Linked DNA regions of Rhinolophus ferrumequinum. Each later gene encodes a partner of the first gene's protein in a complex. Links are inferred from orthologs where the notes say so. Each region holds a gene or a part of one and is shown in the gene's direction. Other genes may lie near its edges.

Region 1 (6,927 bases):
GGCCTCCTTTGAGTTCTGAGATAAATCTAGACTGCTGTGTTATCAGTTCTTCCTCTTTCTGCAGTTTCTTGATCTGTGCCCTCTGTGTCCCTATCAGCACACCTAGCATCTCTGTCCTCTAAATCTTGTTCTGAAATTCTGTTCCTCCTTGTATTGCCTATTCATCCCTCACCTTAAATCCATTATGAGACCATTCCCTGTTGAACCCTTTATGACCCACTTGTGTTTACTCTAGGTTTATTTACAGAACAGGCTGATCGCAACACAAGTGAAGATTACCAACTTTTTATGTCATCCTTGGTCTAATCTGAGTTTACTGTGAAGTCATATTTAAGTCACTGAAGATGCCTGGCATTTCACCTCTATGCCCTTTTTAAAAAAAAAAAAATACCATTTATGGTTAAAAGCATGGGCTTTGAAGCCTGACAGGCCTATGTTTGAATCCTCATTCCACCACTTCCCAGGTGTGTGACTCAGGGCAAGCAACTTAATCTCCTTCTACATCAGTTTCCTCATCTATAAAATGGATATGACAAAAATCTAATTCTCAGGGTAAATAAAAACAAATGTGAATTAGATTAAAGAGCTTGACACAATGCTTGATATATGGTAAGTTCTCAATAAATGCCAGTTGTCTATCCTCCATAGGTCAAGCCCCTAATTCTCTATAAAGTCTTTTTGGTTTACTCTATGTAACAGTGATTTTACCTTCTTCTGAACACTTAACATTTTTTACTTCTACAACTCATTTGAAAATCAGTCATGGTTTACACTGCGATATCTATATTCATATATCATTTCAAAATTTTAATGCTGAAATTTACACTCCTAAAGGGTGGGGATTATAATTTATGTCTACAAATACAATGATGTATCTATATAATCAGAAAGGATCTGATATTAAGTATTGGGTCTCACTGATCTCTTAGACACATTTTTATTTGCCTGATTATGTATAGCTATTTTGAGACTTCAGAAATTGCCATCTTACTTTTCTTTCTCAGTACATAGCATCTAACACAGTATTTAACATTAGATTCTGTGATCCCAAGTTCTCATAATGATTTATTGATTGGTGATTATCCTTATCACATAAAATCTGAGCATCTTTCTCTCTTATGTTCCCTGTAACATTATATTTATTTTTATTAAAACCGTTACAAGTTTTAAAATCCTCATTCCTGCCACACCCAGAGGGAGGTGGTAGTTCCAACTTGTAGTTTTATTGTACCAAGGGAATTCTCCCTATATCATATGCCTTTAAATGGAATTAACTTTTTAATTATATAGTAAAGACAAATACAAACTTTTTAAAACTGTGAAAAAATAGCAATGAAATTATAAACAAAAAAACGAGAATACATTCTGATGTGCAGAATATTATTTTTAATTTCCTTTTAGATTGTGAGTGTCTCGTACCCAGTTTCATGGGCACCTCTTGTCCCAAGCACACCCCACCTGCCTACCACCACAGCCCAAGTGTATTGTACTCACTCCCAGATGGAGAAGGAGTTAGGGAGAGTAGAGGCTGAGAGGATGGACCGCCCAAGTGCTGTGGGCCATAGGCTCCGCGCCTTCCAGGGAGACGGGAGGCCTGGTCCAGACAATCTTAATGGGACGCAAAAGCTAGACTTTGGTTTGTTTTTTGGGGGGAGTTATTGTTTTCCTTTAAGTTTCTTTTGTAATTTTGTTAGTTGGTAAATTCTGTGTGATCTTTTTCATAAAAAGAAAAAGCTATAATTGGAAAAGTAAAAAACAAAACAAAAGCATTTGCCAGTCTTCCCTGAACTATACAGGCATATTTGTTTTATATGACTGTCCTGGGTTCTCACATTTTGTCCCACTAATGTACTTTCATTGTATTCTAATTATTCATTTGTACTTTTTTTTTTATTATTAATTAATTTTTATTGGGGAACAGTGTGTTTCTCCAGGGCCCATCAGCTCCAAGTTGTTGTCCTTCAATCTAGTTGTGGAGGGCGCAGCTCACTGGCCCATGTGGGAATCGAACCGGCAACCCTGTTGTTCAGAGCTCGCGCTCTAACCGACTGAGCCATCCGGCCGCCCCTCATTTGTACTTTTTAAGGTCAGAGAACACACTTTTCAACTTTGCAGCCCCAGCCTCAGCTCAAAGATTGGCAATAGGTGCTTAATAAATACTAACTGAACAGACTGTGAGCTTTGGTTGGAAAAGCACCATGCCTTCTAAAGCTGGTGCTGTTCCTTTACTGCATTAGAACAGTGTTCAACTCATGGCGGGTCTTCAATGAAAAGGGAAAGTTGGTGAAAATTTCCATTTTCAAAGGAGACACACACACAGAAAAGTGAAAATAAATATTGTCTATCATCATGGGCCCAGCAACTGACCTCCCTGTGTAAGACAGGGAACAAGACACCCAAGTAAGTAAAATTATGGGGCTTGTCACTCGCTGGTAGCTTGCTTAGAGTTCTAAACCTTCAACTATTGTTTCTTTCCATTATTGCAGAGAAAAGAAGACCAGAGCCTTTCTCAAGGAGAGACCACAGCTTGTCTCTTTCAGAGGAGAAAATACTGATGGCTCCAGAACTTTTATATGTAAGGATCTTAGCAGTTATCTGATTGGGTGGGGATGGAAGGGCCGGGAAGTAACTAGGAAACTCATCCAGAAGCTATCCCTTTAGGACAAGTTTCTACTTTAGATTGTATTTACAGATGATTGAAAATAGCAAGATTTTCTAAAGATATTTGTCCTCACGTTTTCCAAAAGATTTGGGAAACGTCAACTGTCCACATAATGGAGGATGATGATGATTGAGAGTTCGTTGGATGGGAGGTGAGGGACGAGGTGGACGTAGGTCTGCAACTGAAAGCCAAACTTGACCTAAGTCTTAATGAAATCCTATCCAAGGCTGCTCCTTTGACTAATGGTAGTGTCTAAGGAGGGGCGGTCCCAACAACCTCTTCTGTTTTGCCACCTCCAATGTCCTGAGCCACTCCTCAAGTGTCCCCTTTCATTGCGGCTTCCTGTCCTTCCCAGGGACTAACCATTTCTCCTCCACTTCCACCCTCACCACTTCCTGCCCCTTAAGAAGCTGATTGAGGCCCGCAGGGCAGCTCAGGTGGTTGCCCAGCAGTGCTTCTAATTCTGAGGTCCCCAGTCCCACATGGGCCGGTGAGCTGCGCCCTCTTCAGCTCAGATTGTGAACAACAGCTCTCCTTGGAGCTGGGCTGCTGTGTGCCGCCATGGGCTACCATGAGCTGCTGTGAGTGGCCAACCTAGCCACCAGCGACCAACTGCCTCAGCTGTGGGGAAGCGCAAAGCTCATAACACCAGCATGGGCCAGGGAGCTGTGTCCTACACAACTAGACTGAGAAACAGTGGCTTAAACCAGAGTGTGTGGGGGGAGGCGGAAGAAGGGGGATAAAAGGAAAAAAAAAAGCTGACTTACCCCTTCCAAAGGCGCGGAAGAGGCCTTTGGCTCCCAAATCACGGGAGCCATTTGGGTTCTGCCTAAGACCCTGTGTGGCCCGGGAGGTGCAAGGAACACTAGAACTTCCGAAATGCTTAGTTTTGTTTTTAGCCACTGCGCAGCCGCAAAAGCGAAATAAAGGCCCAAGAACGGCGGGAATTGTAGCTCTCTATTCCAAATTAATATTTGGTAAGGTTAGTACGATTTTGGGGGGGAATGTCTGCCCCCCCCACCCCACCCCCATCCCCGCCTCACTGGGTGCGAGACCAAGAAAATAAACATCCCAGGTTTGGGTCCTGAGGGGAAAAGTAGAGAGAGGCGCAGCATCGATTACCCGTTTTCTTACCCGAAGTCGCAGAACGAAGCTGAAGGTGGCGCTGCAACCTTCCTGCAGAGAGGCTCCTCTCCTTCAATTAAGATTCTCAGGATCACGTTTGCGATTAATGATGACGTCACAGCCCAGTGAGGCGGACCGCGTCGACGCTCTAGCCCGCCGGGCGCTCGCTGCCCCGCTGCCTGTGCAGAGTAGGCGCTCTAGTCCGCGGAGTTAGCTTCCTCTTCTCGCCAGCGCGGGGGAAGAGCCCTCCATCCGGCGGTACCAGACGCGGGCTGGGAATTCCGGGTGCTCGGTTCCCTCGGTCCCAGAGACACGAGACGTGCGTGGGAGGAGGGCTCGCGTTTGTATGCTTAGGTCCAGGAACGGAATAGGAATGACCCCTGAGTGGGGAGGGGGCTACTTTCTCTCTTTTGTTAATAACCTTCTCATCCCCTTCCCAGCCCTCGACCCCCGTCTGTCATGGACCTCGCCGGCACCTGCTCCAGCTTTCAGTCGGACCTGGATTTCTGTCCTGATTGCGGCTCGGTCCTGCCTCTGCCAGGAACTCAGGATACAGTCACTTGTACGCGCTGTGGCTTCTCCGTCAACGTGCGAGGTGAGGGGCTTCTCCGCAGGGGCCCGGGCTGAGGGCCCAGTATGGAAGGGTCGGCGGCTTGGAGACCTCCAGATCGGTTCGATTGGAGGGGGACTCTAAAGCAGGAGATCAAGTGCTTACACTTTTCGTCTTGGGACGAAACCTGAAGGGAACGGTGTAGAGTAGGGCCACCTGGGAGTTGTGCGCGTCAGCTACTTCAGCGTGTTTGTACAACTAGTTTTTACTGCCTGCGCAGACTTCGAAGGGAAGGTTGTGAAGACCTCAGTTGTGTTCCACAAACTGGGGACGGTCATGCCTATGTCGGTGGAGGAAGGACCTGAATGCCAGGGACCCGTGGTAAGTTAAGGATATCAAGGACGGCCCCATAAGGAGGGTGGGAATGAAACGGAGGGGTGATTGCTGAGATCTGGAGAGCTTTGTACCCAGTTCCAAGTGGGAAGAGGAGCGTTTAGAGCAGCAGTGTCCGAGGAGTGTTATAGCCTGCTTCCTGTGAGAAGGAGCGGGGTATGACTAGGCCTCCTTAACCCACCAGTTGCTTCCCAGGTTGACAGGCGCTGCTCTCGATGCGGTCACGAGGGAATGGCATACCACACCAGACAAATGCGCTCAGCTGATGAAGGGCAGACTGTCTTCTACACCTGTACCAACTGCAAGTGGGTAACTTTACCTTGCTTCTCCCCTTTCTAAGTCCGTTTGCTAACCAAACTAATCCAGGGGTTTACTTTTTGCACTGAATAAACAATTGTTTCTTTTGGTCCCATCCATTTCTATACAGTTCAAGAAATAATAGGGAGATTTGTGGTCGTTTTTATTTTTCAAAATTACATGTATCCTTTTACTAGCCAGTGAACTAAACCTTTTAAGATACTTAAAAGGAAATGAAAAATACAGAAAGCCAGTATTGCTTAGGGGTTAGCATGTTATGTGGGAATATTCCACTGCACTCAAGGAAGTTGTACTTGGGAATTAGTGGAGTATGATTTAAAGAACATGGGCTCTCTGATGATTTTAGGAACTCCTCTTTGCCTTTGGTGTTCTGCAGTTTCATTACAATTTATCAAGATGCGGTTTTCTTTTATTCATCCTATTTGGGATTTGTTGAACTTTTTGAAACTGAGGATTGATTTTTCTTTTTTCCCATCAACCTGGGAAAGTTATCAGCCATTATGTCATTGAATATTGCTTTTCCCTCATGACCTCAATTCTCACATTCTGGAATTCTAATTAAAGAGCTGTTTATTAGACCATCTATCCTCCATTCCTCTGTCTTTCATATTTTCCATCTCTTTTTATGCTGCTTCTGGGTAATTTCTTCAGGTCTCTCTTCCAGGTCACTAATTCTGTCTTCAGTTTATTTCAATTATTACGTTAAATTTTTTGAGTTCTACTTGATCATTTTTCAAATCTCAGTCATCTTAAAGAATTCCTGATTCCTTAATCATCTTTTATTTTTTAATTTTTTATTGGGGAGTGTTGGGGAACAGTGTGTTTTTCTAGGGCCCATCAGCTCCAAGTCAGTTCATTGTCCTCCAATATAGTTGTGGAGGATGCATGCAGCTCACTGGCTCATGTGGGAATCGAACCGACAGCTCTGTTGGTAAGATCTTGTGCTCTAACCAACTGAGCCACCTGGCCGCCCCTGAATCATCTTTTAATTGCACTTTTTATTCTTAAAATATTTATTACGTGTAAATATATTAAACATGGCTATTTATAGTCTGTCTCTGATAATTCCAGTACCTAGTGTTTTTCTGGGTCTGATGCTGCTGTCTGTTATTTCTGCTGACTTTCATGGTGCTTTGTTTTGTGATTTTTGACTGTTCGGATTTTTTTTAGAATTTGAACTATGGGAATTCTTTGAGGCCTGGGTTGAATGCCATTGTCTCAGCATTTGTGTATCTTGTTAAGGTGCCTTGAGGCACTACCAAGACAGAATCACTTTTAAATAAATTCTTGGCTTCAGGATTTTTTGGACTACACAGCTAGTATGAATCTGAGCTGCAAATCCATGTAAGGACCAGCTTTTTCTTTCTCTACCTAGTGAGACAAATTCCCCTTTTATAGAGTTAAATTTGTTTTTTTTTTTCCTATTCACTTTTACAGAGGGGTAGCCCCTTGGAGGTCCCAAATTTATGCAGAATATCTATCAGACATTGTATTACAGGTTTTTCTTTTGTTCCTTCATATTGCTGTCAAAACAGCAAGGGCGCCATCGTAGCAGGGGCTTCAGTTTTACCTGTTTAGTTTCCTGATTTTATATCATTTTACCAGTGTGAAGATTGCCTTTACTTTCTTGCCATCTCATCAATGGATTAAAAAATATTTATTGTTAGATACATCTTTTAAGAATATTTTCCCTAGTCTTACCTATTTATTTTCTTAACTTATTTTTTTAAATGAGCAGAAGTTTTTGATTTTTATCAGGTTCAGTTTATCCTTTTTCCTTTATGGCTACTGCTTTTTGTGTCCCAAGAAATCTTTGCATACAAGTCTGACAATTAAGTTCGTGAACTTGCCACCATGTGCTTACACTGGCAGCACTGTA
Region 2 (6,946 bases), on another chromosome or scaffold:
GCTTGCAAAATATGAACTCTATTCTGTTCAATAAAATGTAATAGAATGTGCTGTTATTTTTTTATTCATTGCAAGCGTGGTGTACATTATCGATTTGTTCAATCTAATAAGAAAGTAGAAAGGGCTATCAAACTCAAAAATTGATCCCAAGTCTTCTTTTGAAGGACTGAGGTACAAAAAAGCCGACCACAATAGCTGCCTTGATTTTTGCCATCCCTGCAGTTCTTAGGGCTAAGGCGAAACTTTACAAACTGAAAGCTCACGCTTGCCATCTGCTGACATATCTGTGAATTACAAGTGGTCTGCATCAACCAATAGCTGGTGAATCTATATTGTGTTCCGATTTTTGTTTGCTTTTGTTTCTTCATTTCCAAAACCCATTAGGCAAATTTTAAACATGTATTTTCCCCAGCAGCAGTGTATTTTACAATTTATTCAACTACTGAAAGAAAACTACTATTTCCCAAACTAAACTCATTTATTTCAAACAAGTGGTTTGTATTGTATCGACTTTAATTCTTCCTACTGACAAACGAAATTGCAAATTTGTTTCTCAGAGTATCTAGTTCGTACCTAAAATTGATTTTATCAATAAAACGTTTTAAGAGGATACTATATTGAAAGCTTTAATTTGTTTTAAGCTGAATCAAATGCTTATGTATATAGATTGTTTATAATGGCAGTGCATTGAAGAGGAGGTGCTAATAATCATTTTAAGAACTCCAAAACAAAAGGATCATTCCCAGAGGTGAGGCTAAGGCATTCTCCAGTTTTTATTCATTGTCTAATCCAAATTTTCCTCTTAAGGCCAGGGCTCTACCTCGCTCTTCATCCAAGAAAGTTGTATGCTCCTGCTCCCAAATTCAGCTTTAAAGGCTTAATTAGGCTGAAGCAAACATATTATAACTGAAGTGTGGATTGTGGACTCAAAAAAATATTATTAAGTATTTAACGTAGGCTAATCCCTGTGCCTAGTATTGAACTGTCATTATCTCTTTAATTCTCACAACTTCTCAATACCATCATACCTCTACTGTACAGATTAGGAAGTTGAAGTTTAAAAAGACTAGGCAAGTTGTCCAAGGTGACCGTGCCGACGACACCCAGACAACCTGACTCTAGCACCTGGCTCCTATCAGACGTGTCATATTGCCTGAATTATTTTCTGCAAGACTGCCCACACTCTTACTTTGGCCAAAAACGGTGCTTTTTTGAAATGTTCTCACGTCTGCTAAAAGGGTAGTATTTAGGGTTTCCAGGCGGGAATTCCCGCCCGTTCTTAGGAATTTTTTTTCGTTTTCCCCTTCCCGAATCCCGAGAAAAGTTGGTTGGGAAATCCGGAAAAATCCGCTCCTTGAACCCAGGTGTTTGGTAGTATCAGCTGTCACTTTGTGGAAACGATTCATCGTAGAGAACAGAAAAGAGTTTGTATCTCGGGATTTAGGAACGGGAAAGCGAAAAAAATTCCTGCGAATGGGCGGGAATTCCCACCTGGAAACCCTAGTAGTATTTACCAGTTTGACGTGATTTCCACCGTAACACTTTTTAGAAATAAGCCACCCATTTTCCTGACTGTTGTAATTTCTTCCTTTATCAGCTTTGGTTCTGTGTACAGGAAACATGATGATTTTTAGTGATTCTCAGCCTGAGCTGTGGAATAATTCATGTCTGGTTTAGATTTCTTAATTGACAAACACCTGTGTCTTCTTCTGCAAGTCATTCATTCATTCATTCACTCAAGAAATATGTGTGCGGCCCTAGGCTTGTAGCTGTTAACAATACAGATGGGGTTGCCAGCATCACGGGGCTGACATCTTCCAATTTTCCCTAGAACCTAGTCTCCTCATCTGTAAATATGTATAATAAATATAATAAGTAATAAGTGCATAAGTACCTATGAAGATTCTGTGTTGGTGATTTGTATAAAGCAGGTTTGTATTGAAGCTTAGCTAAGATGATGACGATCGTGGTAATTGTTACAAGGTTGATGAAATCGCCACTCATTCTGCCAATTTAATAAAATCAACTCTTAAGGGTCGTGAAACCCTCCCTGCTAGTAGTATTATTATTACTCTATATCCAGAGGGGCTTCCAATACCCCATCAGGTGAGGTGTATGACAGAAGTATCCTCTGATGCTCTCTCAGGCAAAGGACAAAGTACTTGAGATCAGAAGCATTCCATGAACTGGATTGCTCTTGTGTAAGTTCCAGAATCTAGGCAAGAGGTGGTGTGTGCTTCCCCCGTCCCTCAGGAAACTGCACGGCCGCCAAGAAAGAAAGCCCACTCTAACCTGCTGGAGGATGAGACACATGGAGTCACATCTGACCACAGCTGAGCTCAGTCCAAACTTGTACCCACAGAATTATGAACGAAATTAGCAGTTATTTAAAGCCACTAAATATGGGGGTGGTTTGTTGGGCAGCAAACGTCAACTGATGCAATGGCATTTTTTACCTGGAATGCCTTTATATGAAATTCTTTTCTTTAAGCCTTTACACATAGCTCAAACTTTCTAATTTCATCCCTTCGTTAAAGTCTACCCTAATAATTTTAGCTTTCAAGAAAAAAGAAAGAAATATGCCTAATATCACACATCTAGTAGGTGGCAGAGTCAGGATTCAGACTCAAATGATGTGACTTTAGCACTCAGAATCTTCACCTGGCCCTATATGAAACTGTGTAAAAATAGAGGGTTTCTTGTAACAACCAAACTCTTCAACAATAGGGATTCTTTTGCTCATTAAGTTTCTGATTGTTTTTTTTTTAGTATAAAACAATACACATTCATTACAATAATATATGAAAATTTGAATGAGTAAAAAAAGCCTTAAACCCACCCTCAAGAAATACCTAATATTAATACATGGTATTTATACATAGATTCTTTTCTAATCATATGTGTGCATATTTCCTATAAAAATTGGAGCACCTGGCACAAACTACTTTATAATTTATTTCAGAAAAGCACAACTTATTGTATATTTAGATTGTTACAGAGATTCTTTGCTGGGAGAGGGAGAGGGAGAAGGCCAAAAGTGGATCAAGGACCATGGGTAGTGGCTAGCGAATAATGTGAAGTGTGATGAATGAAACTACTGGGGGCAGGTCATTAAAAAGTACGGTGGACCTGCAATTTAAGAGCCATATTAAGGAGTCGGTATTATGCTGAAGAAAATGGGGCACCTAGGTGGGCTTTGAAGGGCAAGTCATGTTCATATTTGTGTGTTCCGAGAAAATCTGGCTGCTCTAGTGTCCTCTTGACCACTGGGCTAAGCTTCCACATGCAGTCTCATAGTTTTGGAAGCGAGGATGGAAAGAAGTGTCCGAAGAGATTGGTGTTTTGGCTTTGGCACCATAGGCCTTGGGGCCGATTGTTATTTGGGGGTACAAAAGAGGCCCGAGTATGACAGCTGGACTGAGCTATTCGGACAGCGGCGGTACAACTTTCTGAATCAGTGATTACAGAGCGAGAAAAGAAGACGCGCTGAAGAGAGATGATGAGTTCGTTTTCAGATGTGTGGCATTTGAGGCATTTGGGCTGCTTTTTAGGATTGGGTTCCCTGCGGAAAATATATTCCTTACAGACTTTTTAAATTTATCATCGTCAAGTCCAAGCTTGGAAAATCTACCAGACCACCTTACTGTTGGCAATGATCAAAGTGTACCCCTTAGTCAGTCTACATACTACATCCAATGAGGACATTAGCAAAAACACAGGTTTGCCCGCCCGTAAGAGACTAGGTGGTTGCAGATCTTCGAGCATGCTTCGTAAGGAACCTCAGGGCGACAAAGCGGTTGCCCCCTGCTGGTCAGAATTGCATAACGCCCGCGAGGAGAGAGATTTCCTAGGGGCGTGGTCGCCGGCGGTGACGTATAAAGGGCGAGTCCGGCAACGGGCGGTGATGCTGGCGTCAGTCGGGCGCGCCGCGGGGAACCTGGGGAGCCGCATGGCTGCCGGGTGTTCGGAGGCTCCGCGGCCGAGGGCGGCCTCCGAGGGGCCGGGCGTGGGAGCGGCCGGCGTGCTGCCTTGCCTGGAGCTGCCGACGTACGCTGCTGCCTGCGCACTCGTACACAGCCGCTACTCCTGCCTGGTGGTGGGGCCGCACCGCAGGCACATCGCGCTGTCGCCACGCTACCTTAACAGGAAACGCACCGGGATCCGCGAGCAGCTCGATGCGGAGCTCCTGCGCTATTCTGAAAGGTACCACTCTTTGAGCCATTGTCTTCAACTAGCGGGCAACGCCACGACGTAGCTTGCCACCCCTTCTTGGGGTACGGGAGCGGGCCTCAGGGGGACGTGCTGATGGCGCAGGAGAAAAGGGGCTCGTGGGAAACGTCGCCCCGGCCACCCTGAGCTGAGTCCCGAGGCGTCCTGGACTCGTGATGCTCTCTCGAAAGGCCAGTACCTCCTTAGACAAGAAAGAAAACGTAAAGGTGACTTGGCGGAAGAAGCTCGCTCGACCACCCTCGTGTAAGGGTACGAATAGGCCAGGGGTCTGGAGACCCGTTAAACCCGGTTCTGTAAGTTTCTCATTTGGCAATGAAAATTGGGAATGAAGTACTTCAGTAGATTCTCTCTCGTTCAATAGAAAACTGCACATGGAGCATTAGTACAATTTTTGTTTGTAAACCATGAAGGACGATTTTATTATTTTTTTGTTTGTTTTGGCCCTGGTACTTGCTCAGGGATGAGAGAAGTACTATGAGTTTTATTTTGTTTTGTTTTTAAGAACAGGCAGTTTATTTAGTTTGACTGGCCTGCCTGTTGCTCTTGAGGGTGAAAAAACCTGGTGCTTTTAAATTGAGATATTCAAGAGTCCTTAAACACTCTGCGAATTGCAAGGGTAGAGGGTTAGGGAGACAGGGCAGATAGATGTACCTTGCTACTCCTCTAGACTACTTGGTTCAAAGGCAAGGGTGAGTGGGCTCCCTAGGGATTCGTTGTTACCCTCCAGGAATTTCAGGAGTCCCTGGGAAATTGCAGGAATTTCCTATGCCAATTTTCTTAAGCAGAGTATACAAAGCTTTCATCACTTTCTCAAGGGATCCTGAAACCTACACAAAGTTAAGAATTCAAATAGAATGTTCAACTTCCTCCAAGCACCAGCACACACTTGTTGTGTGTCTATTTTGTATACTAGGGACTTGGGGTAGGAAAACAAAGAAAAAACAAGATCTGTACCTGAAGGAACTTTAAGCTCTAGTAGAGATATAATGTAAGCCAAATCCAATAAAATGTTAAAAATTCATCAGAAATCTAAATTATAAATAAGAGAAGGAGTGGTGATTTTAACCTTAAAACCTTTGAGAACAACTTGATCGGAGGAGGGTACCTGGAGATGGTAACCTTCCAGGCAAAAAGAGTGACCTAAACAAATGGATAGTAGATGTACAATAGAATGCTTTGACCCAAGAATTTTAATAGGTGGATAAGGTTTTGGTCAGAAGAAAGACAATGGGTGCAGTTGGGGCGAGTGGGGAGTGTCCTGATGGGGGACAACTCAAAGAATGGCCATTCTGCTCGTCCCTTCCAGCCTGTGCCCGGTTTTGCTTTTCTGTTTTGTTTTGTTTTCCTTCAGCTGGGTTAGCCCAATACCCTCTGACTCTGAAACTTGGCATACTCTTGAGAGAGTAGTACATATCCCTGATCTCTGTGACATTATCAAATCTGCAGTTTAAGAAACTAAGCCGCAACTCTGATTCTGATTTGGAAGAATTCAATGATGGTTTAAGGAGGGTGAGCTAGTAGTTAGGAGACCAATTAAGAGAGGAGACCAATTATAAGAGTGTTATAATTGCCCATGAGAAAGATGATTAGAGAGGAAAAATTCGAGAGGTTTAAGGATATATGAGGTGCTCATAAAGTCTGGAAACATAGGCAATTGTTTGTATTTTACAACTTTCTGTAATCAGTTAATGCCTCCACTGACAGGTTAGAGCAGGGGTGTCCAAACTTTTTTCAACGGTTTTCACCAAGGGCCATATGCGGTAAAATACACAAAAGGCCGGGCCACTCACTCGAGGTGACGTACGTATTGCCTCACCTGGTTTATTTAAGTAAACTAAATATATTTCTGGAATTTGCTGCAGGCCAGTTAACAATGGATCACGGGCCACATTTGGCCCGCGGGCTGCAGTTTTGACACCCCTGGGTTAGAGGAAAGTCACCACAGTGTCTCCAATAGGAGGGGGCCATTACACCAGAGAGACTAGGACTGATTGAGTGGTAGTTTCTATAACTGAATTAGGCAATGTGGCCACGCGGAGCAGCTTGCACTCTGAACAGATCTGGACTCTCCCTACTCCCACACTTGTATCCTTTAATCAGTGCAACTTTAGCACCACACATTGAGCTGTGCATTACCAGTGAGACACAAAACATTGAACATAGCAGGAATTGTAATCTCAGTCAATTGTTTATCATGTGTAGTTGTTTATGTTTGCAGACTGGGGCCACCCTGTAGAATCAAGAGGACTTGCTTCTCTTTGTTTTAGAAATGATGAAAAGGGAGAAACTGGTAATGGCTCCTATATCAGTGTCTGGGTTATCTCAACAGCACTCCCTATTTGACAGACTTCACCTTTTTTAAAGATAACCTATTTCGATTTTGAAAAGCCTGCTTAAAGTAAGTAGTTTTCTAAAATCACGTTATTTTTGGACTAAATTATATCTTTGAGAGGCCATCAAGAAAAAACAAGTCTTATTTCTCTTGTATATGACAGCTCTTAAGTTTTTTGAAGGTGGCAAATATGTTCCCTCCCACTAGTTCTATAGAAGCCTTAAATGTGCAATCTAAGCATCTCTTAAACTTGATTTAATTGTTCTGTAAATATCTTAAGTGAGGCTACCATCCTGACCTAAAACCTACTTAGGATGGTTTCAGAAAAACAAAAAAGGGGAAAAGGTATATAGTGTTGAGGTGTTTGTAAATCTGATGACTTTT
Region 3 (7,844 bases), on another chromosome or scaffold:
GGGGCTGCTGATGATTATAATATTCAAATGAGGTAACATGTTTAGAATGGTGCCTGGCTCAGAAAATGCTAGATATGCATTAGCTCTCACTTTACTAAGAAAACCAGTTGTCAGTACCCGTGGCTGGAAGGCTGTGTTGGGTTTGAACAAATGTATGCCCCCGAATAGAAGTGCAATTCAGTAAGAATGGGGAGAAGAGGAAGCAGCACCCTGGTGTCCTCAGGCCTTTCCTTCCTCCAGTCTCCCCCAGACCATACTTGCTATTCTAACAGAGGCCCAAATGCCTGGCTAGTGCCTGTGTGGGGCCCACATGGCTGCTCCCCCAGGCTTTCCCCAGCTCTCTCTGAACCCAAACCCTGTGAAGGTCGCCACCCCCACAGGCAGGCATGGGTTAAGTGGGCAGTACCAGGTAGCCACGGCCACTAGTTGATCTACCAGGCGTCCCTTCTCCCTCCCTTGGTGGGAGCCAACGATGGTAGCCAGGAGGGACATACAAGGAATACGTGGTACAGGCCTCATGGGTGTACTGGCCAAATATCAACCCTGTGGGTCCAGAAGACCTGTGGCAACGGGGCCTTACCCAACGCTCTGACCCCGAGGCCCATGACTCTACCTTTCACCCGTTACCCTCCGGCCACACTGGCTTCCTTTTGTTCCTCAAACACACCAAGTCCAGACCTGCCTCAGGCAGGGTCTTTTCACTCTCCCTAGGACTTAGCCCCCCAGGCTCTCACTGCATTGTCATCTTGGCTCAACTGATCCCTCTTCAGAGAGGTCTCTCTGATGACCCTAAACAAACTCTGTTCATTTCCCCCACCTGTCACCCTATATACCTACCCAGCTTTAAAGCATTTATCAGTCCCTAAAGTTACATTTTATATTTACCTGTTTTCTATCATTCTGCCATGAGAAACATGGCTGAAATAACAGATGACAAATACTGTTGCAAAAACTGTTGGAAGGTGTAGAAAATGCTGAAAATTTAGAAGAAACAAGTATTAGAACAAGAGACACAGGTTTGTAATTTGAAGGTTTGTGATATAGTTGGATAAAATATAGATATTTCTAACAAGTCCCTGTTCATGAGGGTCTCTAGGTTCTGTGTCACTAACAGCATGTAGAAAAAACTACTTTTGAGGCACCATTAATGGGAAGAGGCACCAGGGAGCAGCAGATACTCTGGGCAATAAATCATTTCTTTTATAAACACAATATTTTGTGGTAAAATTGTGTTCATGTAACCACGGAGGATTGTCTGCTTTGAATAAAATAATAAAGAACTCTGAGACAAGACTGTTGGCAGTGTGCTGGTTGTAACCCATCCACTGCCTCAATCACCAGCAGGAAGGGCAGCAAAAGTTGAGTCCACACATTGCTGCAGAATACCATGGATGTGGTTAATTTTATACACACAAGACCTTTCAGACGCCATGGGACTGTTACCGTAATCTGTGTGAGCTGAATATCTGTGAAAGTCCTATGTTCCACACAGAAGGTTGTTGATTATCTCCTGGCGAAATACTCAAAAAGACCTGTCAGACTTGTGATAAGTTATCTTTTTAAACAAAAAGGCACATATTCCTGCCATGACAAGTGGCTGTCAGCAGTATACTACCTAGCAGATATTTTCCAAGTTGTGGATGCACTTAATTTGTCCCTTTGGGGCAAAGGGGATGTTTCAACAAAGTAAGCAGCTGAATGGCTGGGTGTGTTGACTGGCCTTATCTTTATATTTATGATCACAGATGTCCAGGGCCCCCTAATGCTCCCTGACAATTTACTAGATTTCTGATATAACTCTCCCATTTCCAAGGGATATTACACCTCTGCTCTCTCCTCAGACCTTGTACAACCCTCCCACTTCCATGCTCGGCAATGGCTTGCGTCGTATTTCAGGAGGAACAATCAGAAGAGCCCTCCACCTTGTTCCCACCAGTGCCTGCCTCTGACTCCAATGCCTCCCCTTCTTTCCTGGTTCTGCCACACACGAGTTGCCCATGTGGATCCATCCCCTCTCCCCAGTTCAGTGACAGACCCCTAAAATCATTCCCTCTCTCTTTTGCACCATCATTTTTCTCTGAGAGTTCATTTCTATCAGCTTATAGACATCTTAAGCAAGCAAAGAGACAAAAACAGACAAACACATAAAAATCTCCCTGATTTTACATCACCGACCGGCTACGGCTCCTTTGCTTCTGTCTACAACCAAATCCCCCACAAGAGTGGCCCACACTCTTCCACCATTTTCTATTGAACTCACTCTATTTGGCTTTTATCCCCAACAATGAAGCCACTCTTGTCAAGGTCACTGATGACCCCATTTCCCAACCTGGTCATTGCAGTTCTCAGGAGCATGTGACACAGTTGATGGCATCCTCCTTTTGGACACACTCTCTTCACTTGGCTTCCAGGAATCCACACTCTCCGGACTTTCCTTCTATCTTGTGGGCATTCATTCTTAGCCCCCTTTTGTCAATCCTCCTTTGTGGTCCCGACTTCTCTATGTTGCAGTGCCCAGGTCTCAGTCCTCTCTACACTCATACCCTTGATATTTTATCCAGGCTCCTGCCTCCCAGTTACACATCCAGTGGTTACTTTTCCCCTGAACATCAAACTCGTGTATTGCACAGCATACTTAGCATCGCCCTTTGGATAGCGAATAGGCATCACTAACTTAAACATAAACCCAACTTTTACATCTGAACTCTATCATGAGCCTACACCAAAGTTTCTCCCACCTCAGTACATGGCACCTGCATTCTTAGATAGGATCAGACACAAAACTTTGCAGTCATCTTTCACTCCTCTCTTTCTCTCACACGCCACATCCAACCCATCAGGAAAGACTTTCTGCTTATACCTTTGAAGGTGACCACTCCTCATCAGCCTCACCATGCTCACCCTATAACAGCCCACACCTGGGTTATTTCAGTTGCCTCCTAAGTGATCTCCCAGCTCCCCCTTCGCCCCCTTCCAACCTATTCTCCATAGCCCAGAGGAAACCATCTAAAATATGAGGCAGCTTCTGTCACGCTTCTGCTTTCCATCTTACTGAGGATGAGCTCTGATGTCCTTACTACAAACCACAAGACTTGAGTCATGGCCTGGCCCTGGCCACCTCTCTGATCTCAGGTCATCTACCACTTCCTGGCTTATTAAGGACCACCTTACTGTCTAGGTCCGGAGTGCTAATCCCCCAAACATCTGCATGACGGGGTCCCCCATTTCTTTTATGTTTCCTTTCAAATGTCATTTTTATTTGAGAGGCCTTTCTATCTTCATATTTTGATCTCCCTTGGTGATCTCATCTAGCCTCTTTAAATGCCATCTAGATAGAGATAACTTCCAAATGTTTACTTCCAGTCCAGAATTTGCCTCTGAACTCTAGGTTCCTATATCCAATTGCCTTCTCATCCTACCTGGATGTCCTCTAGATAGCTCTAACATAACAAGTCCAAAATAAAATTCTTAATCTTCCTCTGTCCCACTCTCAAACTGTTCCACACACAGTCCTACTCAGTGATAGCTTCACCCTTACAGTTGCTCAGGGCAAAGGTCTTGACATCATCCTTGACTCCTTTCTCTCTCTTATAGCGCACGTCTTGTCCATCGAAATATCCTTATGGCTCTACCTTCAAAATCTGTACTTCCAGGTTCTGTCTACTTCTCACTGTCTCCATTGCCTTTACCTGGGTCAAGTTACCATTATAACTTGTCTGGATTAGGCTATTAGTCTCCTGACTTGTCTCCCAACTTCTGCCTTTGCCGCCTAGCACTCTGTTCTCCCCACAACAGCCAGACTAATCTGCGAAACATAAGTCAGATCATGTAACTCCTCCAGTGGCTCCCCCAATTTCTCCAACTCAAATTCCTTAAAACCGTATTTTGCCCCAACCACATTTTCTTTTTTTTTTTAATTAAATTTTATCGGGGTGACAGTTGTTAGTAAAGTTACATAGATTTCAGGCGTACAATTCTGTATTACATCATCTATAAATCATATTCTGTGTTCACCACCCAGAGTCAGTTCTCCTTCCATCACCAGTCAAGTTCCTTAAAACCATATTTTGCCCCAATCACATTTTCTACTCTTCCTTTAGCTCACTGTTCCAGCCACTTACTGACTACCTTGCTGATCCTCAAATGATATGACATGAGGCTCAGGGCACTGTCTTTACTGTTCCCTCTGACTGGAATGCTGTTCCCAACTTGGCTCTTGCTTCCTTGCCTTCAAGGTCATCTTCTCAGTAAGACTTTTCTTGACCACCCTATTAAAAAGTGAAACCATCTGATAGCTCCCATTCTCTATCCTGCTTTCTCCTTGGTACCCGTCACCATTTATCATACCATGTATTTCCTTATTTATTTTTGTCTCTCACCCCCAAAAATATAACCTCCATGAAGGCAGGGACTTTTGTTTACTTTGTTCACTGCTGAATCCTCAGGGTCTAACGAATAAATCAGGGAATGAATGTGCCCAATGAAGGCACACTAAAAGCTAAATTTAATGAGCACTTACTACGTGAGGCTCAATTAGAAGGGACTCATAGGTAATAGCTAATTTTTACAGAGAAGGAAACTGAGGCACAAGGAAGCAGAAAAGCCGTGATTAGAAACCCAGGTCTAACTCAACCTGCATTCTTTCCTCCAGGACCCTATGTCTCTCCTGTGCTATTAAAAGACAGTACGAAGTGGAAGGTGCCAGCGGTCCGAGAACGTGGGCCTCCATCGCTTCTCCTGCAGCCTGAATCAATACGAGGGTCTTACTGATTCAACACCGGTTGGATTAACAGCTTTCAAAGGAGAGCGTGAGGGATCAGTTCCGTATTAGGCACCGCCCAGTTTCTTACTGGTTGGTTTCAGTTACCTCGACCAGGAAGGGGATGCTGTCTGGGAGAGGGATGCAGGATTTGCGAGCTTCTCCCCAGGAGCCTTCCCGGCAGCCGTAAGGCCCGGAACCCAAAGTCAGTGTCTCAGTTTCCCCCCGGAGGGCTGCTTCCGCTGCTCCCGGAAGCTGCACTCGCTGCGCTAGTAACAGGCCGGGCTGTGTCGGAGGCGGTACTGTTATGGACCTAGAGGAGGCGGTGAGCGGGCCGTGAGCCGGGCGGGTCGGGACAGCGGGGCGGGAGGGGAATGAAACTGAGGAGAAGGGGTTGGAGGACGCGGACACGCTGTGGGTGCGGCCCCAGGCCGAAGGAGGGCGGGGCGGAACGCTGGGGGGCGGGGAAAGGAATGGGGCTGGCGGGCGTGTGAGCTTGCGATTTGGGGAAAGAGGATGGAGTTTCTGGCAGGATGGGGTTGTGGGTGAAGGGGGAGCGGTATTAGCCGATATGGGTGTGTTTCAGGAGAAGGACGAAGTTGTGGGTTTTGTGGGGTGGCCACCCGCGTGGCTCATCCTCTCTCGAGAGGACCACCTACAAGTTCCCTTTGATGTTGGGGCGGGCGAGGGAGCGCCGGCGTTGAAACTTGAATGCCCCCAAGTAACCCCTGCCAGTCTTCGGGAATCCTCGCCACCGTTTGGTGCAGGGATTCCAAATTCGGTTGTGAGGACACTCCAAGTATTGATAGTTATCAATAGGGGGTTAATAAAAACTTGACTAACTTGTCGAAATAAATTTGACATTCATTTTCCACATACTACATAAAATGCCGCACTCTTTATTAAAGGAGTATTCCATAATTAGATCATAATTAGATAATAATGTCAAACACCAAAGAGTTGGAAATCAGTAATTTAGGAACAGTCTATGTATGTATAGAAGAATGATAGAAATAGAAGGCCTTACTTATTGTGGATGCTCAATAGATGTGTATTGAATGATGGATGGGTAACATCTGTAAATGCTGAGTTAATGTCATTAATCATTATAACTCACCATCAGCCTGTATACCTATGAGTAGGGATCCTGTCTAGTTTGCTCACCACTGAATCCCCAGCACTTAAATTCCTGGTACTACATAGTTGATACTCCTTGTATTGCTGAATGAATAAGTTGAAACTGGAAACAACCCTAATAAAAATCTGGTTCCTTTGTAGCGAGTATGTGTTTAGTGTCCTGGAGGAAGTTACAATGTATGCTGTTTCTATTTTTAAGTCTTCTCTATACTTAAACCTTGTCATCTTTTTTCATCCTAGCATTTTCAAGTTTTATTTACTCACTTTTTTTTTTCCATTTTACTCCTACCACCTTTTTCCCCCCCATTTTTTCCCTCACACACTGCATATTTTAGAAATTTTAATTCCATTTCGAACTGCTCAGGAAACCGAATCTCTTTTCTCCCCATTTATAGATAATCTCTCTGATATGTTTTCTATAATTTTTAATGTATAGGGTAAAATTGCAGGGAACCCTGTAGTAGAATTGCAGGCTTTAGGGACAATGCATTGAATGTGGTTTTCCTCTTGTCCTGCAGAAAGAATTCAGAGAACGCTGTACTCAGTGTGCTGCTGTCTCTTGGGGTCTTACTGATGAAGGCAAATATTATTGCACTTCTTGCCACAACGTTACAGAAGTAAGTAACAAATCTCATGTATAAATTTGCTCATGTTTTAAAAATTGCAATTTCAGCCTGATATATGTCATAGTTCCTAAAGAACTGATCTATTTTTAATCACTCATGCAATGCCCAAATTCCAAGAATGTAAATAGTCTTCAAGTGCTTACACAAGGGTTAAGGAATTTGTAAATTAGATTTAGAGTGAGTTTTTGAAATTATGTTGGGCCGTTTATATATAAATGATTTCCAGATTCAGACAGTATAGTCTAAGGGGGAATAATTAAAATTGTATTTAGAAGATGATGCATTTCTTTTTATTAGTTAATACTTATTTAAGAGTTTTTAATGTGTCGTGGTAGCTTAGAGGTTTGGAAGATGAAGTGTTAGAAAGATTGAGGACTGTTGAGAGTATTGGAAATATGCTTCATTATTATTTTTCTTCGTACAGTACCTTACAGATTACCAAGTCTTTTCTTACCCATTATTGAATTTGCCCCTTGTAACAATAGTATTTGAGATATATACTATTATGCATATCTATAGACACAGCAAGTAGGGCTCACCAGTAGAATGAGTTTGCCAAAGTCACACAATTATGAAGTGTTGAGCCAGGAATCGAACCTGAGTCTTCTGAGTTGAGTGTTCATTTTACCCACTGCACCTGCCTCTTAAAATAGAGATTGTCATACTGTCCTATGTGGCATTGGTAAATGAGGTTACCTTCACCCGGTGGGGGGCTAGGTCCTGTTCTGGTTACACATCTTCAGGAAAATAACCAAAATAATCAAGGGTATGGACAGCCTGCTGTTGGACAGGCTAAACATGCCAGGGCTCTTCTCTGGAAAAGGATTTGCTCAAAGTCTACAGAGCCAGGAAGGAACAAATATTACCTTCACCACATTGGCTTAAGAAAGGCAAATTTGGGATAGATGAAAGTAACTGTGTAGACTTCTGCTGCTGGCCAAGATGGAGTAACAGGCACCCGATTTACCTTCCTACCATAAATAACTAAAAACATGGGAAAATATATGAAACAAGTAAAAAAATATTTTCCCTTGAGAAAAGTGGTTAAGTTAGCTTGCAACTCAGTCACACAAGAGCTTTTCCTTTTCGATGACTGAGATAATCATTGTTCTGTCTGCAGTAGCAATTCTTATGTCCTTCCCATTTAGTCACACAGTATTAAAAATATAAGTGCTCATTCAATGAAATGGTTGGGGTGATGGATCTGTTTATTTTCTTGATTATGGTGATGGATTCATGGACACACACACACACCATATTGTATACTGTAATATGTGTAGTTTGATCCTCTGCTTTGATGCATGTTAAGGCAGACTGGTAGT
Region 4 (7,469 bases), on another chromosome or scaffold:
CAGACGGGGGCTTATCAATCTGCTAACTACATGTTAAGGTTACTACTTCCTGAGAGAAAAGCCCCTGTCCTCACACTAACTCCTAGGGGATTACGAACTCCACTCTGCCCAGAACATTCAAGTGCCTCAGTGCCTGATGCGGTGGAGCAGGTGCTGGCATACTTACCAGCCGACACGCTATCCCCCTTGCGCCCTGGACAGCTGTCACAGACGTGGGAGACGTGGTTGTGCTGGGACGGTCCGGGATGCACAGAACCACAGCACAGTGAAGCTACAGAGTGTATTTCATGAGCAGTTGTGGTTGTGTCAAGCAGAGTGGACCCAGCCCTCTTGTGGGTGTGGTGGGGACTCCACTAGAGAAGTCAGGCACCAGGGTGGCCCCCACAGCATGTTCTGCTTTAAAGGAATCAGTGGTGCCCTTGGCTCTGATCCTGGACACAAGCTCTGTACCTAGGAAGACATGACTTCTGAAAAACGGCGATCTTATGAATGTTTAAAATGCCTGGGGCATTAAAGTAATAATATTTCAAATGTTTTTGTCCCCTAAGGTCTCATAGTCTTATTGTGGGTGTTGATTGTCCTAGGACTCACTGGTGGGTTGAATCCATGATTCTGTTACCCAGCCACAGGCAGACTTTCTGTAAAGGGCCAGACAGTAAATATTCTAGACTTTGTAAGCCATGTGGGGTCTCTGTTGCAGTTTCTTCTTTGTCTCTTCCCCAACTCTTAGAAAATATACAAAACATCCTTAGCACATAGGCCATACAAAAACAGGCCAGAAGTGGCCGTCACTGGCTGAACCCAGCATGTCATTCAATACATAAGTCAACAGATTGTCCCTCCTAACTGAGACTTCCATAGGAGGTTTTGAAAAGCTTCAACATTCCTAAGAATATGGAAGGCCACACACATGTGTAGGGCTGTGTGTGTGCCCTTAGCTTTCATCTCTAACCAGGTGGATCTGCACAAGCAGGAAGTGAAGACTAAGACAGAGCTGTAAAACACCTTCCTGAGCATGAGGGCATGCCAAACGCGCGTGCGCGCACACACATGGCCCCTTGGCAAATACTGGGAGAATTACTGGCTCCAGGCTTTTAAGGAAATCTGTTCAATCATTAGTTAATCACTAAGCTAACTTAGCAGAGACTTCAGTGGCCACACCCAAGAAAGAATACAAGCTTTAGTTTAGCAAAGTCACTAAAAACACAAAGAGCTACAACAATTAATCCTGGAGAGGGGAGAACATCTGGTTTCCAAAGTTGCCTGATTATATTATTAAAATTTTCCAATTTTCAACACAAATCATGGGACATGCAAAGAAAAAAGAAAGTAAGCCTCACAGAGGAAAGAGGCAGTCAATAGACACGGTGCCTAAGGAAACCCAGGCATTGGACTCATTACACAGACTTTAATTATTTAAAATGTGTTTGAAGAACTAAATGAGACTGAGAACGATGTGTCATCAGAGGGCATATCATCATTAAAGAGATAGAAATTGTATTTTAAATAGAACCAAGTACAATGATGCCGATGAAAAATTCAGTAGAGGTGTTCAAAAGCAAGTTAGAGCTGGCAAAAGAAGCCATCGGTAAATCTGAAGCCAACTGAGATTATCCAGTTTTAGGAACAGAAAGAAAAAAGAATGAGGAAAAATAAACAGTGCTCCAGAGATCTACCTAGAGGCGTGGATGTATACCAGCATATATACATACAGGAGCCCTAGAAGAGAGGGGAGGGGAAGAAACATTGGAAGAAAACTTTCCCACTTTGACGAGAAACATTAAAATGCATGCAAGAAATTCAAACTAGGTAGGATAGACTCAAAGAGATCCACAACAAGACACACCAACCACTAAGAAAATAACTTTAAATATATAGTAAAAAAAAGACAAGGAAACTAAAGTGTTACACTAGAAAATACCTATTTAACAAAAGAGAAGGCAGTAATGAAGGAACGGGGAGCATATAAGGCAAATAGAAAACAAATAGCAAAAATGGCATACATAAACCCTACCTTATCAGTAGTTTCATTAAATGTAAATGGATTAAACACTCCAATCAAAAGACAGATTGGCAAAATGGATTTTAAAAAGCCAAAACAACCATGATCCAACTCTGAAGTGCTATCTGCTGAAGACGCACTTTAGACTAAGAAACAACAAGCAGGTGAAAGTAAAAGGATGGAAAAAGATATACCATGCAAACAGTAACTCAGGGAGAGCTTGAGCGGCCATACTAATAGTAGACAAATAATATTAGACAAAATAATTTTTTTTTTAATTGAAGCTTATTGGGGTGACAATTGTTAGTAAAGTTGCACAAATTTCAGGTGTACCATTCTGTATTACATCATCTATATATCACATTGTGTGTTCACCACTCAGAGTCAGTTCTCTTTCCATCACCATACATGGGATCCCCATTACCCTCATCTGCCATCCTCCTCCCCCTGACAAAATAAGCTTTGAGAAACAAAATTGTGACTACAGGCAAAGGACATTTTTTAATGATAAAAGGATCAATCCATCAAATTAATTCTAAACATATGAACCTAGCAACAAAGCCCCCAGATACATGAAGGAAAAATAGAAGATTTGAAGAGAAAGTTCAATAATATTAGTTGGAGCCTTCAATCCTCCACTTTTAATAATGGATAGAACAAATAGAAGATCAACGGGAAGTAGAAAACACTATAAACCAACTAAATCTAACAAATATCTATAGAGCTTGCCATCCAACAGTAGCAAAATACACATTCTTCTCAAGTACACGTGGAATATTCTGTGAGATAAACCATATGCCAGACCATACTACAAGTCTCAGTGAATTAAAAATGATTGAACTTATGCTACATCTGTCCTCTGACCACATCAAATAAATGAGAAATCATTAACAAATAGATTTGGGAAAATCACAAATATGTGGAAATTGAAACCACAGTCCTAAATAATGAGATCAAAGGGATCTCATTATCCCTAAATAATGAGATCCCTAAATAATGGGATCAAAGAAAGAAATCACAAGGGAAATTAGAATACTTTGAGATAGATGAAAATGAGAACATACCAAAACTTATGCAATGCAGCTAAAGCTGTTCCTAAAGGGAAATTTATGTTAAAATGTCTACATTAAAAAAAGATCTCCAGCTGAAATCTATGTAACTTTACTAACTATTGTCACCACCATAAACTTTAAGAAATCTCAAATCAACACCCTTTAGGTTTCTTCCCCCTTCAGAAACTAGAAAAAGAGTAAACGAAACCCAAAAAAGTAGAAAGAAATAATAAAGATTAGAATGGAAATAAATGAAACAGAGAATAGAAAAAAAGAAGAAATCAACAAGACCAAAAGTTAGTGCTTTGAAAAGATCAATCAAATAGACAAAACTTTAGCTAGACTGAGCAAGGAGGAAAAAAAAGAGAACTTAAATTACTAAAATGAGGAATGAGAGAGGGTATATTACTACAACACAAGTAGGATTACAGGGGAATCCTATGAACAGTTGTATGCCAACAAATTAGATAATCGATATTTACGGGCACATTCCTAGAAAGATACAAAACTGACGAAAGTGACTATAAAGAAGATACAGAAAATCTGAATAGACCTGACAAGAGACTGAATTAATGATCAAAATATCTTCCCAAATGGAAAAGCCCAGCACCAGATAGCTTGAGTGATGAACTCTACGAAGTGTTTGAAGAGTAATTAACACCAATCCAAAAAATGGAAGAGGAGGGAACACGTCCCAAGTGGTTCTGTGAGGCCACTGTTAACTCTGATAGGGAAACCAGACAAAGACATTACAGGAAAAGCAAGCCCACCAATCAGGAATATAGATGAAATCGCCGCGAGGGAGGGATTCCCAAGGGTCAGGAGGCTACTTGGGAGTGGTGGACTGACTCTATCCGAATCGTGGCGATGGCGTCACAGGTGACATACAGGTAAACTTACCAAGGGTTCCATTTTAAGTGTGTGTGTTTACTGTCGATCATCCCGCCATAGCGAACGCGGCTGTTAAAGACACACACACGAAGACGAGTTGAGGCACTCCTTGGTAAATCCCCACTGGAAAGATGGTGGCTCCTAGGACTCAGAGAGGCTACAGGGCTGGGAGGCCCCGTGGCGGCTGCCGGACCCCAGGACAAAGGAAGCCGTCAGCGAGCGCAGACCACCTGACCGTTCCGCGAGGTGCCCTCACGATTCCAGTGGGGTAGAGGGCAGTCAGCCAGCTTGTTTCTAGAAGCCGAGACGCGGCTGGGGTCTGCCCAGGGTGGGCATCAGCAATGATCGGGAAGTGGTCGCGGGGAAAATAGCGGCGCATTGAAGACTGCTCTCCACCAGCCTCTACTGGTGGAAGGAACGAGAGCCAGAGGGCAACGCTGAGTGGGGCGGGAGCGTACCGTCTCGGTACAGTTGTACACCGGCCCCTTCACACCACGGTTTCGCTTCCAAGTCGGCCCTATGTAAAGGACGGGCAGATTTCCGGCGGAAGTAGAAGAGCTACATTTCCCAGGAGGCCGTGGGCACCGTGCTTCCTTCCGGTGCTTCGGAGAGTGGCTGGAGGCAGGCGTGCAGGTGCCGCATGGATCCTGGCAGCCGGTGGCGGGGCCTGCCCCGCGAGCCCAGCCTCAAGCACTTGACGGACCCCTCTTACGGGGTCCCGCCGGAGCAGCAGAAGCCGGCGCTGCAGGAACTGACGCAGGCGCACGTCGAGTCCTTCAACTACGCGGTGCGCGAGGGGCTCGGCCACGCGGTGCAGGTGAGTGCGGCGCCTCAGGAGCCCTCCCAGCTCCGCGCTCGCTGGCGCCGCTCGGGCAGGCGGAGCAAAGGGGCCCTGCGAGGCCGGAGGCGGACGTGGTGGGAGGAGAAAGGGAAGGGGAGACCCAGGAGGCGGGCTACAGGGCCCAGAGAGTTGGCTGAGAGGTCACAGTATAATCCCAAATGGTGGTGCTCCGTGATTATGCCAGGCTCAGCGCGGGGCTTGGGCTCCAGTCGACCAGGGGAAGATGCATTCGTGATTCGTGGATTTATATGGGATTGGGAACCGTAGCATTTTGCAGAGCAGTTTCTGGGTGCTGAGAGAGTGGGGAGGTGGTCCGCCTGGGCTGTGCTTCTCAACCACAGTTGGTTGTCCATGGTTAACATGCTAAGAGAGCTCAGTGGTGCCCTTTCCTCAGTGGAACAGCAAAGCTTCCCCCAGGGAGTGGTACAGAAAAGCAGCAGCTGGGTAAGGGGAAGAACCACGATGGTGACCACCGTCCTCTTTGTATGACTCTGGCCTCAGTATGAGGCCACAGTTGGATGAACTGTACAAATATCAGCATAAAGAATCGCATTAGTGTCTGGTCCTGGATCAGGAGGTGCTTCCATATCCTTGGCAGCAGTCCCATTAGTCTTGCTGTGCTTATAGAGGATGCAAAGTAAGAAGAGAGTAGGCAGGCTCTTTGGTCAGAGAACAGCTTTGTTCTGTGTACATACGTTCCTAGGACCTTCTAGGAATCTGACACGTGGCAGACACTCAAATATTGGAGTTAATGCCTTCTAGTTTTAGGTACGTAGTGAGGGTGTGAGTAGACTGGAAGTAGTTTTCACTGTCATCTAGATGTGTCACATTAGCATTATAGTTTTGTAGAAAATGCATGGGATTTAGAAGGGTCTTAGTGAAAGAGGGCCTTGGCCATGCAAGCAGTTAATAGCGTGAATTGCATTTCAGGCTGTACCTCCATTTGAATTTGCTTTCAAAGAGGAGCGTGTGTCTCTCACTGTCGTGGATGCTGTCATCAGTCCTCCCACAGTCCCCAAGGGAAGCATCTGCAAAGAGCTCAACGTTTATCCAGCAGAATGCCGAGGCCGGAGGAGTACCTACCGGGGAAAGTTGACAGTGAGTGCAAGTGACAGTGTGTGACTCGCATGCTGTACATGTCTGAGAATAAGGCTGGTGCCCAATAAAGTGTAACCAGAATTCTGCTTTCTTGGTACCATCATCCAAGAAATCCCAGCTTTTAAGTCTAAAAGCATAAAATCATTTAATCTGTGGTCTCCTCCCTCTTTTAAAATGCTCATTTGTTCTTGCAGATCCCAATATTTTCTTTTTTCTCAAGTCATTGTTTTCATTTAGGCCGATATCAGCTGGGCAGTGAATGGAGTCTCAAGAGGAGTCATCAAGCAGTTTCTTGGCTATGTTCCCATCATGGTGAAGTCCAAGCTGTGCAATTTGTACGGCCTTCCGCCCAAAGCCCTCATTGAACACCATGAGGAACCAGAGGTGAGCGCATTCCGGGCACTGGGCAGCCAGGTGGCGATGGCGGGGGTCTGAGTGTGGACCCAGTTTTTCTTTCTCTGCTTCATTTCTGCAAAGGCAAAATGGGGCATTAATGTCTTGTCTGATATTGTGTATGGTTCATGATGAGTCTCAAATGAGACAGTGTGAAAAAGTGGCTATGCAGTAGAGGGTATTACGGGGAGAATTGATAGTTTCCCCAGTTTTCTGAATGGTACCCATTTGGAGACATACTTATTTTTTAAGCCATCTTAATCCACAAAACTATTGTCTAAAATGTCTGCTTCGCCAACAGTAAGATTCTTTGAGCATATTAAATGCTTGAGATGCCTTCCCTTTGGCATTTCTTTTAGCTGTGTGAGATGGCTTTGCAGTAACCAAGACATGCAGAGTGCCTTCATGGAGAGCTGTGTTATCAGTGGGAAGAGGGCTGTACTGTCACATCTGGGTTTGACACTCAGCTGCTCCACTTACCAGTCGTGTGGCTTTGGACAGTTCAGTCTCCTGAGCCTGTTTCCTCTGCTGAAAACGGGCACAGTAGCTACCCCACTCGTTGTTGTGAGAATGACATATTATGACAACACAGTGTACTAGCATGGCATGCCTGCTTCATGGTAGGCAATCAGTATAGGAGCTGTTTATTACAGAAATGTGATATTGATTGGAGCGATTAAAAATGTTTTCCTATAGTCTGAATTTCTGGTTTCCAGAGCTTTCATACAGTCAGCAGTTTTTTACCTTGTTTGGGACCATACTCATCTGGAAACGAAATGGTTACCGTTTTTTATTTGTTTTAATGTCATTTGAAAACTGAAGTCATTTTAGGGGACAGAAAGGCAAGTTAAGTCAGGACTGTCTGGTAGAGAAAGTACTTTGATTTCCTTCCATACTTTCCTCCCAGGCCCCTGCACCTTTTTTGTGTGCTTGAGAAGATTTAGTTCACACACTGACAGTTTCCCAGGGACCCATGGCTCTGTCACCTGTATGCCCCTCTCAGCACATTACACCGCATCTGTGGGAGTGACTTTGATGTTTGCAGTTAGTTGGTGTCCCATTTAAGTTAGTGACATATCTTTGTTTAACATGATAAGTCGTCTCTTTGGCAGGAAATGGGAGGCTATTTTATAGTCAATGGCATCGAAAAGGTCGTCAGAATGTTGATCATGCCTCGGAGAAATTTCCCCAT

The links.
Region 2: POLR1H (region 1) and POLR1F share a complex: the UniProt entries of both Homo sapiens proteins name them as parts of the RNA polymerase I (Pol I) complex. The link is inferred for Rhinolophus ferrumequinum from reciprocal best matches to the Homo sapiens genes POLR1H and POLR1F.
Region 3: POLR1H (region 1) and TAF1B share a complex: the UniProt entries of both Homo sapiens proteins name them as parts of the pol I pre-initiation complex. The link is inferred for Rhinolophus ferrumequinum from reciprocal best matches to the Homo sapiens genes POLR1H and TAF1B.
Region 4: POLR1H (region 1) and POLR1B share a complex: the UniProt entries of both Homo sapiens proteins name them as parts of the pol I pre-initiation complex. The link is inferred for Rhinolophus ferrumequinum from reciprocal best matches to the Homo sapiens genes POLR1H and POLR1B.

The regions. Positions count from the first base shown.
Region 1 is NC_046286.1:687,250-694,176, forward strand, and holds the start of POLR1H (DNA-directed RNA polymerase I subunit RPA12), read left to right. Parts: upstream 1-3,926; 5' UTR 3,927-4,133; coding exon 4,134-4,141; intron 4,142-4,227; coding exon 4,228-4,382; intron 4,383-4,617; coding exon 4,618-4,718; intron 4,719-4,925; coding exon 4,926-5,035; intron 5,036-6,927. UniProt on the Homo sapiens protein: Core component of RNA polymerase I (Pol I), a DNA-dependent RNA polymerase which synthesizes ribosomal RNA precursors using the four ribonucleoside triphosphates as substrates. Can mediate Pol I proofreading of the nascent RNA transcript.
Region 2 is NC_046303.1:19,977,684-19,984,629, forward strand, and holds the start of POLR1F (DNA-directed RNA polymerase I subunit RPA43), read left to right. Parts: upstream 1-3,926; 5' UTR 3,927-3,949; coding exon 3,950-4,203; intron 4,204-6,946. UniProt on the Homo sapiens protein: Component of RNA polymerase I (Pol I), a DNA-dependent RNA polymerase which synthesizes ribosomal RNA precursors using the four ribonucleoside triphosphates as substrates.
Region 3 is NC_046296.1:65,800,272-65,808,115, reverse strand, and holds the start of TAF1B (TATA box-binding protein-associated factor RNA polymerase I subunit B), read left to right. Parts: upstream 1-4,843; 5' UTR 4,844-5,066; coding exon 5,067-5,084; intron 5,085-6,414; coding exon 6,415-6,513; intron 6,514-7,844. UniProt on the Homo sapiens protein: Component of RNA polymerase I core factor complex that acts as a GTF2B/TFIIB-like factor and plays a key role in multiple steps during transcription initiation such as pre-initiation complex (PIC) assembly and postpolymerase recruitment events in polymerase I (Pol I) transcription.
Region 4 is NW_022680356.1:219,672-227,140, reverse strand, and holds the start of POLR1B (DNA-directed RNA polymerase I subunit RPA2), read left to right. Parts: upstream 1-4,465; 5' UTR 4,466-4,585; coding exon 4,586-4,762; intron 4,763-5,716; coding exon 5,717-5,884; intron 5,885-6,121; coding exon 6,122-6,268; intron 6,269-7,389; coding exon 7,390-7,469. UniProt on the Homo sapiens protein: Catalytic core component of RNA polymerase I (Pol I), a DNA-dependent RNA polymerase which synthesizes ribosomal RNA precursors using the four ribonucleoside triphosphates as substrates.